Saccharomyces cerevisiae S288C: one gene and its partners. The main gene of each other region encodes a partner of the protein of the gene in region 3 in a complex. Each region holds a gene or a part of one and is shown on either strand. Other genes may lie near its edges.

Region 1 (2,782 bases), on a different chromosome or scaffold from region 3:
ATGTTGTAACTCTAAGAAAGTAAAATAATAAAAAACATTTCATTTGTGCTGATCTTGCCAAAAAAAGGGTAAACAAGTAGGCAATAGTAATAAAATAAGAATGAAGCATTTCTTTTAATAAGCAGAGAGAACTTTCAAGCATTCAAAAAACACAAAAATAATGATGAATAAAATGGGACTCACAGTGTTTATTTATAGTCCTTGTTTCGCATTTTACCAAATTAAAATTTAATTTTATCAAGACATATTAATGAACTTTAGCGGAAAACCTTAAATATCCAAGTCATAAATAATGACTTATGTAAAAAGTTATAAGAAAAATATACGGTGTTCATTTTGGAACAATGTTGCTGTTACACACTGTTAAATATATTTAGTATTCATAAAAGAAAGAAGATTTTAATACGCGTTTTGATTAAAACTACATAACAGATAAATATATACATGGATTGAAGACTGCAAAAAGGATATATAAAAAAATGACAAATAATTTCAATAAGCTATTTCAATTGGTTAAAAATTGATTCTTTAAGAGGCTCTGGTATTGATGATTGCTCATGGGCAAAGGCAGTAATATTTTGTTTATAAGGGTTTTCACTTCCATCGAAAACTTTTAAGCGGTCTAACCGTTGCTTTCTCAATTTATTTTTAGGCAACATACCGCTAACTGCTTTTTTCAAAATTTCTCCAAATCCTTTATCGGCAACAACCTTGTTCATTGTCTGTAACTTTAGCTGACCAGGTCTACCTGAATGAGACCAGTAAGTCTTCTGCTCAAATTTCTTACCTGTTACACGGATTTTTTGGCAATTAGTCACTACTACGTAGTCTCCACAGTCTTGTGACGGATGATAGACCGGCTTATGTCTACCAATTAAGGTAATTGCAATTGCTGAAGCCAATCTACCCAATGTCCTCTTATCACGGGCAACGTCGACATGGTGCCAAAGGCGCGCAAAAGCCAAGCCACTGTGTCCAATCTTCTGCGACATGAATAGGCTATTGTTGATGCTGGTATTGCTTTCTTTTTCTATATGATATCAGTGTATTCATAAGGTCTTTCTCTTTTACTTATTTAGAACGTTTTAAAGATCTCTAAACTACAAGGAAGGCTCCATGCGGGTAACAATCAACATTATAACGATAATTAACTAAACCATAACCGTCTAAGTAACCATAGCGTGCGGTGATTCTTCGCTAGATGGAACTCATGTCTTACTAGTAGCGTGTTTGGTACGTGCAATATAGAGCAAAACATTATATAGACATCGTAATAGCTTTTTATGTGCGGACTGTAATGTTTGTAAGAAGTAAAACCAGTCACTAATATAGTGAAAAAAAGTCAACTTATCGATCTATGTATCTCATAGAAGATGTATTGATTTAATATAACTTATAAAGGTGCTTCTACAGTAAGGTGCTGAGAGGACTTACTATGTCGGCAACAAGTTCAAATCTGAAGCTCTGAGGATTTCGCGAGATGCGCACAATCTGAAGTAATATAAAGATGAAAACACAATACAAAAGGCCTGAAAATCTATATGTCCGATAAGATATCATAGTATTCTTACTCGCAAGCACACATCAGGTACTTGGAAGTGTATGATGAGGTATCAATGGTGGCTTTATTTAGTATATGCCATCGGCCTAATGCTATGCCTAGGCCCGTCGTATATTCATCCAGATGAACATTTCCAATGCATCGAGATTTTGGCTATGCAGTTCATGAAGGTCAAAGGTACCATCCCATGGGAATTTAAATCAAAATTTGCTGCTAGGAGTTACGGCCCCCTATTATTGGTTTACGGGCCTTTGTTCACTATTTTAGAATCTTTTCCCGAAATTCAGGACAACCCAGCGTTAATTCTGTATTCGATGAGACTACAAAACTATGTGATGTACCTATTGTGCTATCATTTTTTAATACCTAAATTAATAAGGGATGAGAGAAAGGCCGTACAATTCATCAAAAAAAGTCTACTTTTAACTTCTTACGTAACCTGGACGTACCAAACACACACGTTTTCCAATTCCATAGAAACGCTGGCTTTAATCTCAACTTTAACTGTAATGGAAGATATGGTAAACGAAAAAAATATTCAAAGAAGTAATTTCAAAAATTCGGTTATATTGGGACTTATATTTAGTTTTGGTGTTTTTAATAGAGTTACTTTTCCTGCATTTATTTTCTTACCATGTTTGATATTATTCTGGAAGTTTTACCGGGTCCATTGGAAATCCTTTTCTTTACTTTTACTTTCATTTTCATTTTCCTCGTGTCTATTTGTTCTTATTGATACAAATATTTATAACAACGGAAAGGGATTTGTCATTACGCCCTTGAATAACCTGAAATACAACCTCAATGTCCAAAATTTGCAAGTACATGGATTACATCCAAGATACACCCATCTGCTGGTCAATTTACCTCAAATAGTTGGCCCAGTATTGCTGCTAGCGATTTTTTCCGGTTACAAACTCGATAAATTATCTACTTACGCAATCATATCTGGCCTGCTTTTTCTTTCATTCTTTCAACATCAAGAATTAAGATTCCTTGTACCGCTAGTGCCACTACTCGTGACAAACTTAAACTGGACACCTCTGAGTTCCACGTTAGTAAACAAGAAAATTTTCAAGGGAACTTGGCTTCTTTTTAACATAATCATGGCGTTCATCATGGGAATTTCACATCAAGCAGGAATTATCCAATTTTTGGGAGATTACTTCCACTTTCGTACCGAACAAATGGGCGTTCACATATGGTGGAAAACATACTCAC
Region 2 (3,091 bases), on a different chromosome or scaffold from region 3:
TTCCTCAATTTATTCCGAAGCAATTCAGCCGTTGAATTATCAGGATCAATATCAACAACAGGAACAATCACCAGTATATAATGGCCACACACAGTATCCTGGCAATGGATATAGCGGAAATCCTCAGCAACAGGGGTATACTGCGCAATTCGTGCAAAATCCACAATGGTACGGTGTACCAACTCCTCAACAACAGCAACATAATCATCCTCAGACCCTGGAAACTATTGGAGAATTACCAACTCCCGCATATTTAGCTCAATCAGCTTCCTCGCATTCATTGACCTCTTTTAAAAGACCAAACAAGCAACAACTTCTTCAATTACAGACTGCCAGACTAAACGGAACTGCGTTAAATCCGGTCGATCATCCGGAAATGTTTTATTCACCGACAAACGATGCCTATTATGCTCCACAGCAGCAAGGCCAATATATGAAGTTTAACGAAAATGGGGCGGTTCCTTCACCTTATCAACTTAGACAAAGTGTGGTAATGACCAATCCTTCGGATTTGACGGCAAAACCATCTTATAAGCCAGCAGGTTCTTTCAGAAGTGTAAGCGCAACCAATTCAAGAAATAACAGTCTGACCACACAAAATAATATCTATCTGCAACAGCAGCAGCAGCAACTGTATAATTCTCGTGTTAGTGGGATATTAGAAGAGACAGATGTTGTACAGCCACCAAGTGTTGGTGGAATTTTGCCACATAGTGGTTCACAGGACGATTTAAGAAAACAATTAGGCTCTTCACATAATTATACCGTCAACTGAAGTGTAGATAATGAACGGACAATTATCGGATATATAAATTGATGTTTTATTGGAGAAATTTTACAAATTGCGTATTTATACAAATTAATTTATGTTAAATAGGATTTTTTCGAAGTGTATTTTTAAGTTTTAAGGCATATTTAACAAATGACGCCGATGAGAAATTGTTTTGCGGTTTTTCTTATTTTTGCATACGACGAAGAAGTTCCTTTGTGTATATAACAATTTTTCATGCTTCCAGCTTTTAAGAAAGCTCAGGCGCCTCACATCATTTGTATTTGCTGCCTCGTTGCCTATTCGTAATAATTTCACAATGTAGGAAGATGATAAATCGAGTATTGATACAGAAAACGTAAGTTTGTAGTCAATTTATGAAAAATCAAAATCGTCGATTTGGTTTCTGTATCTCAACAAGGTTTTCTTGATCTTAGAGTTGTCCACCCAAGTAACGTAGTCCTCCATATTTCTCGTTACGAGGTAGGCTGGATCGTTGATCAAATTTGGACCCACGCGAACATGCCCTTGTTCAATGAACTTGACTGCATCTTGTATAGTTTCCGCCATTTTTAATCTATGCATTATTACAGGTAATCGCCTCCTACAGATGGCACTAACAGTAACTTTATTTTCCAGATCAGAAATCTTTGATTTAGTTGTCAGGACACCCATAGCGTATAGCTTGTCCAGTAATAATTGCTCATGTTTGCGACGAAATGGATCAGTGGGAGGTAATAATGATAATTTATTGGCAAGACGACGAATATCACCGCATATCCTATTGTATTTATGATAATCTTCACGATTCTGAATATGATATGTTCTCATGACCTGAGTGTCCCGGTGGCCTTGGTCCTGCTTCCATTCAAGGAAGTCTACTTTTTTCAATAACTTTTGCTCATGATGCTTTAGTTTTCTAACCATTATTGGTTGTGATTATGCCTGGTGGTTTATCTATTTAGAACGTTCTATATTACTTATCCCATTGAATTTTTGTTGCGATGAGCTTATATCAGTGAAATTTTTTTCACTGGAAGTAGAGGGTAATGAAAGGCGAGCGGAAATAGCGAGGAGACGCTACGGTTATAGAGGAAGAATATCAAATACTAGTAAGTAAGGGAAGATCACGCAATAAAGCTATCGCAAATCTTACTATAGGAATTGAGGCCAACCTATGTCATTTATTCAGAGGAGGTTATTGTCGCAAACACTTTTTCTGCGCTCTCAAGTGGGGTCTTTACCACTTTATATATCTCCTGAAGTTCAGGTTTCCATAAATGCATTATCCATGCCCAGGATTATCAGAAAAGGTAGAACTTCAATGAATATATCACAGAATATCACAGTAAAGGGACCCAAGGGTGAATTGTCCGTGGAGGTCCCTGATTTTTTGCACTTGGACAAGGATGAAAAGCACGGTAAAATAAATGTTACAGTTCAGAATTCAGAAGATAAACATCAACGTTCGATGTGGGGTACAGTAAGATCACTTATAAATAATCACATTATAGGTGTTACTGAGGGGCATCTTGCTGTCCTTAGATTTGTAGGGACAGGTTATAGAGCTCAATTAGAAAATGATGGTAAATTTGTCAACGTTAAGGTGGGTGCATCTATCAAACAAGGATTGGACGTTCCTGAAGGTATTGTTGTCAAAACACCTGCTCCCACGTCTCTGATTATTGAAGGGTGCAATAAGCAGCAGGTCCTTCTTTTTGCTGCCAAATTGAGAAAATTCCATCCACCAGAGCCGTATAAAGGCAAAGGAATATACGTTAACGATGAAACAATAAAGCTAAAGGACAAGAAAATCAAATAACTTCAGGATTTCAGTTATTTTCGTACTCATTTTCGTAATTTTTTTTATGACATGTATCTTTTCTTATACTTTATAGGGAATACCTTGTAAATATCCTATGAAAATAACTTAAATGAAATTTATATTGGTTATTAATGCGGTGACGTGTTCTTGCTTGGTAAACATTTTGGTGTTCAATGAAACTCTTGGCTTGCAACCTTTAATATATACTAGTTTCACGGAATATGAACGCAATAAGTAAGGCCACAGAAGTTCGAACCTTACCTTTCATTTTATACAGTTTCGAAAAGGGAACACCATTTAGACTAGAAACCAAATATCCTCTTTAACGTTCTGCTAATGCTATATATTTTTTGATTCCAACGCTAATAAAGATTTTTTTTCTTGAGTACTTTTCATGTTTTGTTGTAGAGAGCCCATTTAAAACAAAGATGTTTACCAGAAAACAAAAGAAAAGATCAAATAAGTGAGTAAATGAAATGCTGTACCTTCCAATTTCT
Region 3 (5,358 bases):
ATAATTGTACTAAAGAATCAAAAATAGACAGTCTTCAAATGATTACTCAAGACACTCCTGCTTTAAATCCAACGGAAGAACACTACCTGAAGAGGGAACTGCTTCGATGTCAATTGGATTATGAAATTGGAAAGCTTAACGATCAGTTTGCTTTGAGAAAGTTCGGTTATCCTTTCTCACCAAACGATCCGACAGCTCCACAGCCTATCTCCAATAACGATTCATCACCAGTGCTCGGTGGCAAAGGCCATTTTAGCGTTAATTATCCCATGCTGAGTTATGTTTTGCAAGAATTTATATCCACATTTCCTTTACTTTCAACAAATTTGCTAGTTGATGAAAAATTCTGGCAGAGTAAGGTTCAAGTGTTCTTTGAACATTTCATGAGTCTTGGGTTTAGTGAAAGTTATGACAGGGAGGAAGCTTCAAAAAGGAAGAAAGTTTCCAAAAAGCTATCAAAGGTTATCTTGTTGCTCTTTAACTCCGGTGTTGGCTCTTTTCAAGAGCAAGCGTATTATAATGAGGATAAATTCGTTTTACAGTCAGGCCAAGCGAGAAAACGCTCTAATATTGAGAAATTTGCAATGCCAACTAGAGAAAATTTAGAGAATTTGCTCACTAACGAATCCGTTTTTATTAACGGTTGGGACGTCAATATTATATCCGTGTTCAATAAGAATTCACGGAAATGTACTGAAAGTGTGGATAATGACAAGTCTAGTAAATCTACTCCAACTTCGAGTCCCAAAAGCCATGCTATAAAATCATTTGCTTCCACTTCTAAATGGATGAAGAATGCCTTCAACAACACTATTAACAGTACCATAAATAGTATGCCCGAATCCTCAGCATCTTTATTTTCGAAATTATCCCTTGGCGTGCCTTCAACTAAGAGCAAGCAATCTAGAAAACATCATTATTTCTTGATTAAGATTAAGAAGCAAGATGACGACGACCAAGATAACAGCAATGAAGAGAATAGTAATCTTGATCACCATGCTGGTTATTTCTATGTGACAAGAACATACAGCGACTTCAAAAAACTATCTCATGATTTAAAATCAGAATTTCCGGGGAAGAAATGTCCGCGCTTACCTCATAGAAATAAAAAAGTGACGTCTATGATAACTAAAACCGAAGTGTTACACAATGGGCAAACTAAATCAGCAGCCAGGGAAAAAATCGTCAACACTTTTGACACTGATTTACAATCTGCATCAGAGTCTGATAATTCTTCATTTTTACAGACAACGAATGAATTATCTGCTACAGAAACAGTACTCACAGAAAAAGAAACTGAAACGTTGAGAAAAAATATTCTAAATGAGATCAAGGAAGAAGATAATATTGATGAGGACGAGTATGAGGAAGAAGGTGAAGGTGAAGAAAGTGATTTTGATGAATATAAAGATGCATCCGATTCAAAAATCAATACTTTGGTGGGTGAAAAAATGAGAACTTCATTAAGACAATATTTAAGGACTTTGTGTAAAGATGCAGAGGTTTCTCAAAGCTCATCTATTCGTCGCTTCTTCCTAAGTGGGCCTAATTTAGATATTAAGGACATAAATCCGAAAATAGCAGATGACATTAGAAACAGGGCTCTGATAGATGTAAGTAATTTGGAGAACCAAATACGTTTCCAACAGATGGCGTTAGAAAAGTCTTTAAAGCTGCAAGACTCAATGAAAGATTTCAAAACATCCCTGTTAAAAGATGAAAAATACTTGATGAGTCTACTAGTAGAAATCAAGGACAATACGAAAGTTGAAGACCTGTCACCACTTTTACAAGACTTTGTGGAATGGTGTAAGATTTATATTTCCTCAATGATTTATCAAATGTTTCTGGGTAACGATAACAGTTATGAACTCTATACACAAATAAGACGGTTACATAAGCTTATGCCGTACACAGTAATGGGACAGATCATGAAATTTACTAATCCAATAGCGATCATGAGGGGTATGATTGAATTATTTATGGCACAACCCTTCGGTGGTCATTCGCTCCTTCAAACAATGTTTTCTACGATATTAACAGATGATTTGAAAACTCAAAAGGTAGCTATAAAGGAATTAGAAAGGAAAATTGCTGAGATGGACCCGGGCGCTTCAGTTGTGACTAAATGCTTGAAGGATTTTGTCTTTAATAATGATACTAAGGATGAGCATGATACTAAACTCTTTACTATGGACGCAGTAAATGCAGAATCCGAATCCATGAACATGCCTGTACCATTGATAGTATTAATGAAAAGTGCAGCTGCAAATCTAATTCCAGACGAGGTTGTCGCGGGACTTATTGAATCCTATTCATCATGGAAACTGCAAAAAGAAGACACGGATGCCTTGAATGTAACCAGCGAAGATCAGTCAGGTATTTATTTCACACACGTCAAAGATTTATGGCAATTGTATATTAAAGAACATGATAAACAGCTAATGAGGCAGCTATGGCAAGATCCTGAGTTAACCCAAATGCTAAAGGCAATTGTCACTATGATTTACGAACCTATGGTCAAGATCTTCAAAGTTGCAAGGATGGATGTTGCTTTGAAAAATTTTGAGAAGTTCATGAGTGATTTGATCAGGCTTGTTGATGATGTTATCAATGGTCAGTTGGGCGTTTCCACACAGTTCGATGTCGTGGAAGAAATCCATAACTTAGTAACCAAACATCAAGATGCCTTTTTTGAGTTTATTCATGATGTATATTTGAACGATTCAGAGGGCATTTTTGAAGGTTTTATTACTTGGATTACTACGATAGTGAAATTTTTGCAAAAGAGTAAATTCGGAGGACCGAGTGAAAGGATCGACTTCAATAAGTTAATTTGTAGAGATGATATCGATATTGATGTCAAACTTTTGAAAGTTCAAGTTAATAATGTTCTTAATAAAAAGATTGGTGCGAGAAAAATCTATAAGAAGTTGTTAGATTTGAAGGTTAAACAAGGTACTAAACAAAATAACAAACACGCTGCTGGCATACTTCAAAAGAATTGGAGTGACATAAACTCCTTGGTTATGCCATCCAGCTCTGGATCTTTTGGACTTGGAGATGGTGATTTGGTGGATTTGGATCTCGATACAGGTGATTACGATTTTTTACATAAAGAGAATGAAGTTGAATTAGAAAAGCAATACAAAGATTTATTGAATCTTGTTGTTGATGAAAGTGAAATTGATAAATTGAGATCTCAAGTTTTCGCACAGGAATTAAAAAATTATTTAGAAGCTCAAATTGCTAAAAAGTAGGCCCTTTCTAGTATCTCCTTTATTCGTTTTTATTCGTTACGATTTTCCGGCTTAATAATATAGGATTGCTAGGTCTATATATAAGAAAAGCTTGTAGAAATAAAAAAATAGAAAAAACTTCAAGATAAATATTGTTCTCTTTTATTTTAAGATCCTACAAACAGCACAATTCCCCTTTTAGTTATTTTTAGCCAAGATCAGGATAGCAGAGAACTGAGTCCCTTATTCTTTAATTGAGGGTCAAAAAATTCCGATTGCGAACTTCATCTCCACCTTGGCAAAGGAATGACGAAAAAATGATCTTGCATATATATATTTACTTGTAAAATAATTATTTTGGAATTTTTCTTAACAAACCACCTGACAAACAAACACCGTACGCAAGCATCCCGCAAACATTAGAAAGATTGAACAAAAGACTCAATCCGTGCGACTTGCCAAATTCTTTACGTAATATAGCATCCTTTGCTTCCAATTCACTACCCGTGTATTTCTTCGCAATATTCTTTCTTTGTTCTTTAACTTTATGGGTCCAGGGCAACAACCAAAACAAATTGGTTAGCCCACTGACAGATGCAACCACCAAAGAAGATAATGGTCCTGTTGTCAAGGCAATTGGAGCGGTAAGGGCCAGGATGACAGGTGATGCCGCTTGCATTTGGAAAAAATACGGGAAGATCTTATTTTGCAAAGCAGAAAATTGGTCTTTTTCAAGAACTTTGAATGCGATTGGAGAAGCTACATAGGAATAAAACGTCGTTCCTCCAAATCTGAAAGATTAAGTTGGTACATAAAAGTTGTTAGTCAGTTATTCTCAATTAATCATAATTGTTCAAATTTTTTCTTGTGTCTTAATCTGTACATACACAAAGGAATAAAAAAGCAAATGAGCCGTAGTTTTGACTAAACACATTTTTCGTTGTTAAGTTTACTGGACTGTAAAGCGTAGTTTGATCTGCCTATATCATCAAACAACTCCATTTAACTCCCTTAAATAATACTATTCTTTTCTGTAAGTTTATCGCACTATACGTTACGGTGCTTTCCGTCTTTTTCGGATGAGGGATGCTCATAAGAATTACAACAAATCATAAGCCCTGAGATAAAAAAGATCAATCAATACGATTATCATAAACCATGACTAAGTAGATACACAGACACGAATATATGGAGAAATGGTTGTGAAAGCTATTGCACGAAATTCCATAGGTCGTAATGGAGTTGGAGCATTCGTGTTTCCATGCAGAAAGATTACTTTGCAATTCTGTAACTGGGGAGGGTCTTCGGAAGGCATGAGGAAATTTTTGACTTCAAAGAGATTAGATAAATGGGGCCAGGAGTTCCCATGGATACAGTTTGAAGTGATGAGGAAGTCTGGACATCCTTTGTTGAGGGCAGAATACACAAATGGGCGTGAAAAAGTTATTTGTGTGAGAAACTTGAACATTGACAATGTAGAAAACAAGCTAAAGCTATTGAAGGATTCTGATGGAGACATTTTACGCAGAAGAACAAAGAATGATAACGTGGAAAGCTTGAACAGTAGTGTGAGGGGTATATGGTCGCCTCTGCATGCTGCGAAAAGGCATAGAATTTAGCTTTAGTATATAAGAAAATTCTAGAAATAGAGAGAGATAATTATACTTGTATATATAATTTGGGGCAGATAAGACTCCTGATATTTAAGATTTAAAGTCAATTTTGCCATTGTTATATGATCATGTCCTGAAATATGACCTCTTGTATTTGGTTACCCGCTTTACACCCTGCAAATCACACTAGTCTAATAAATATGGAATAAGACTGAAACATATAAAAGATGTAACTTCTAGGATATCTGAAAGAGCAACCGTACGGTATTCAACGTTTAGATTTGATGGACGGCCTTAGCTTTGTTGATAAAGGGAAAATACCAGATGGTTACAAAAATGAAATAGATCAATTAGTAAAGAAGGAATTTGCGAATATAAAAAGAGAGCCTGTTCATCCCGAAATACGAGGTATACTTGCGAAGAGAAAGGGGGCCGATAATAGTGTTTCTACGCTTACAAATGCATTGTACACCGAATACTTGAAACAACGTAATAACAAAAAAAGG

The links. The genes of interacting proteins can lie anywhere in the genome.
Region 1: MRPL51 (region 3) and MRPL23 share a complex: the UniProt entries of both Saccharomyces cerevisiae proteins name them as parts of the mitochondrial large ribosomal subunit.
Region 2: MRPL51 (region 3) and MRPL6 share a complex: the UniProt entries of both Saccharomyces cerevisiae proteins name them as parts of the mitochondrial large ribosomal subunit.

Annotation. Positions count from the first base shown.
Region 1 is NC_001147.6:610,209-612,990, reverse strand, and holds MRPL23 (mitochondrial 54S ribosomal protein uL13m MRPL23), read right to left. Parts: upstream 993-2,782; coding exon 501-992; downstream 1-500. Other genes in the region: SMP3 (glycosylphosphatidylinositol-alpha 1,2 mannosyltransferase), read left to right, coding at 1,603-2,782. UniProt on the Saccharomyces cerevisiae protein: Component of the mitochondrial ribosome (mitoribosome), a dedicated translation machinery responsible for the synthesis of mitochondrial genome-encoded proteins, including at least some of the essential transmembrane subunits of the mitochondrial respiratory chain.
Region 2 is NC_001140.6:392,139-395,229, reverse strand, and holds MRPL6 (mitochondrial 54S ribosomal protein uL6m MRPL6), read left to right. Parts: upstream 1-1,946; coding exon 1,947-2,591; downstream 2,592-3,091. Other genes in the region: SKG6 (Skg6p), read left to right, coding at 1-775; snoRNA-binding rRNA-processing protein IMP3, read right to left, coding at 1,145-1,696. UniProt on the Saccharomyces cerevisiae protein: Component of the mitochondrial ribosome (mitoribosome), a dedicated translation machinery responsible for the synthesis of mitochondrial genome-encoded proteins, including at least some of the essential transmembrane subunits of the mitochondrial respiratory chain.
Region 3 is NC_001148.4:725,356-730,713, forward strand, and holds MRPL51 (mitochondrial 54S ribosomal protein mL43 MRPL51), read left to right. Parts: upstream 1-4,435; coding exon 4,436-4,858; downstream 4,859-5,358. Other genes in the region: LEC1 (Lec1p), read left to right, coding at 39-3,260; TMH18 (Tmh18p), read right to left, coding at 3,592-4,030, 4,127-4,173; YPR099C (uncharacterized protein), read right to left, coding at 4,402-4,758; SNT309 (Snt309p), read left to right, coding at 5,137-5,358. UniProt on the Saccharomyces cerevisiae protein: Component of the mitochondrial ribosome (mitoribosome), a dedicated translation machinery responsible for the synthesis of mitochondrial genome-encoded proteins, including at least some of the essential transmembrane subunits of the mitochondrial respiratory chain.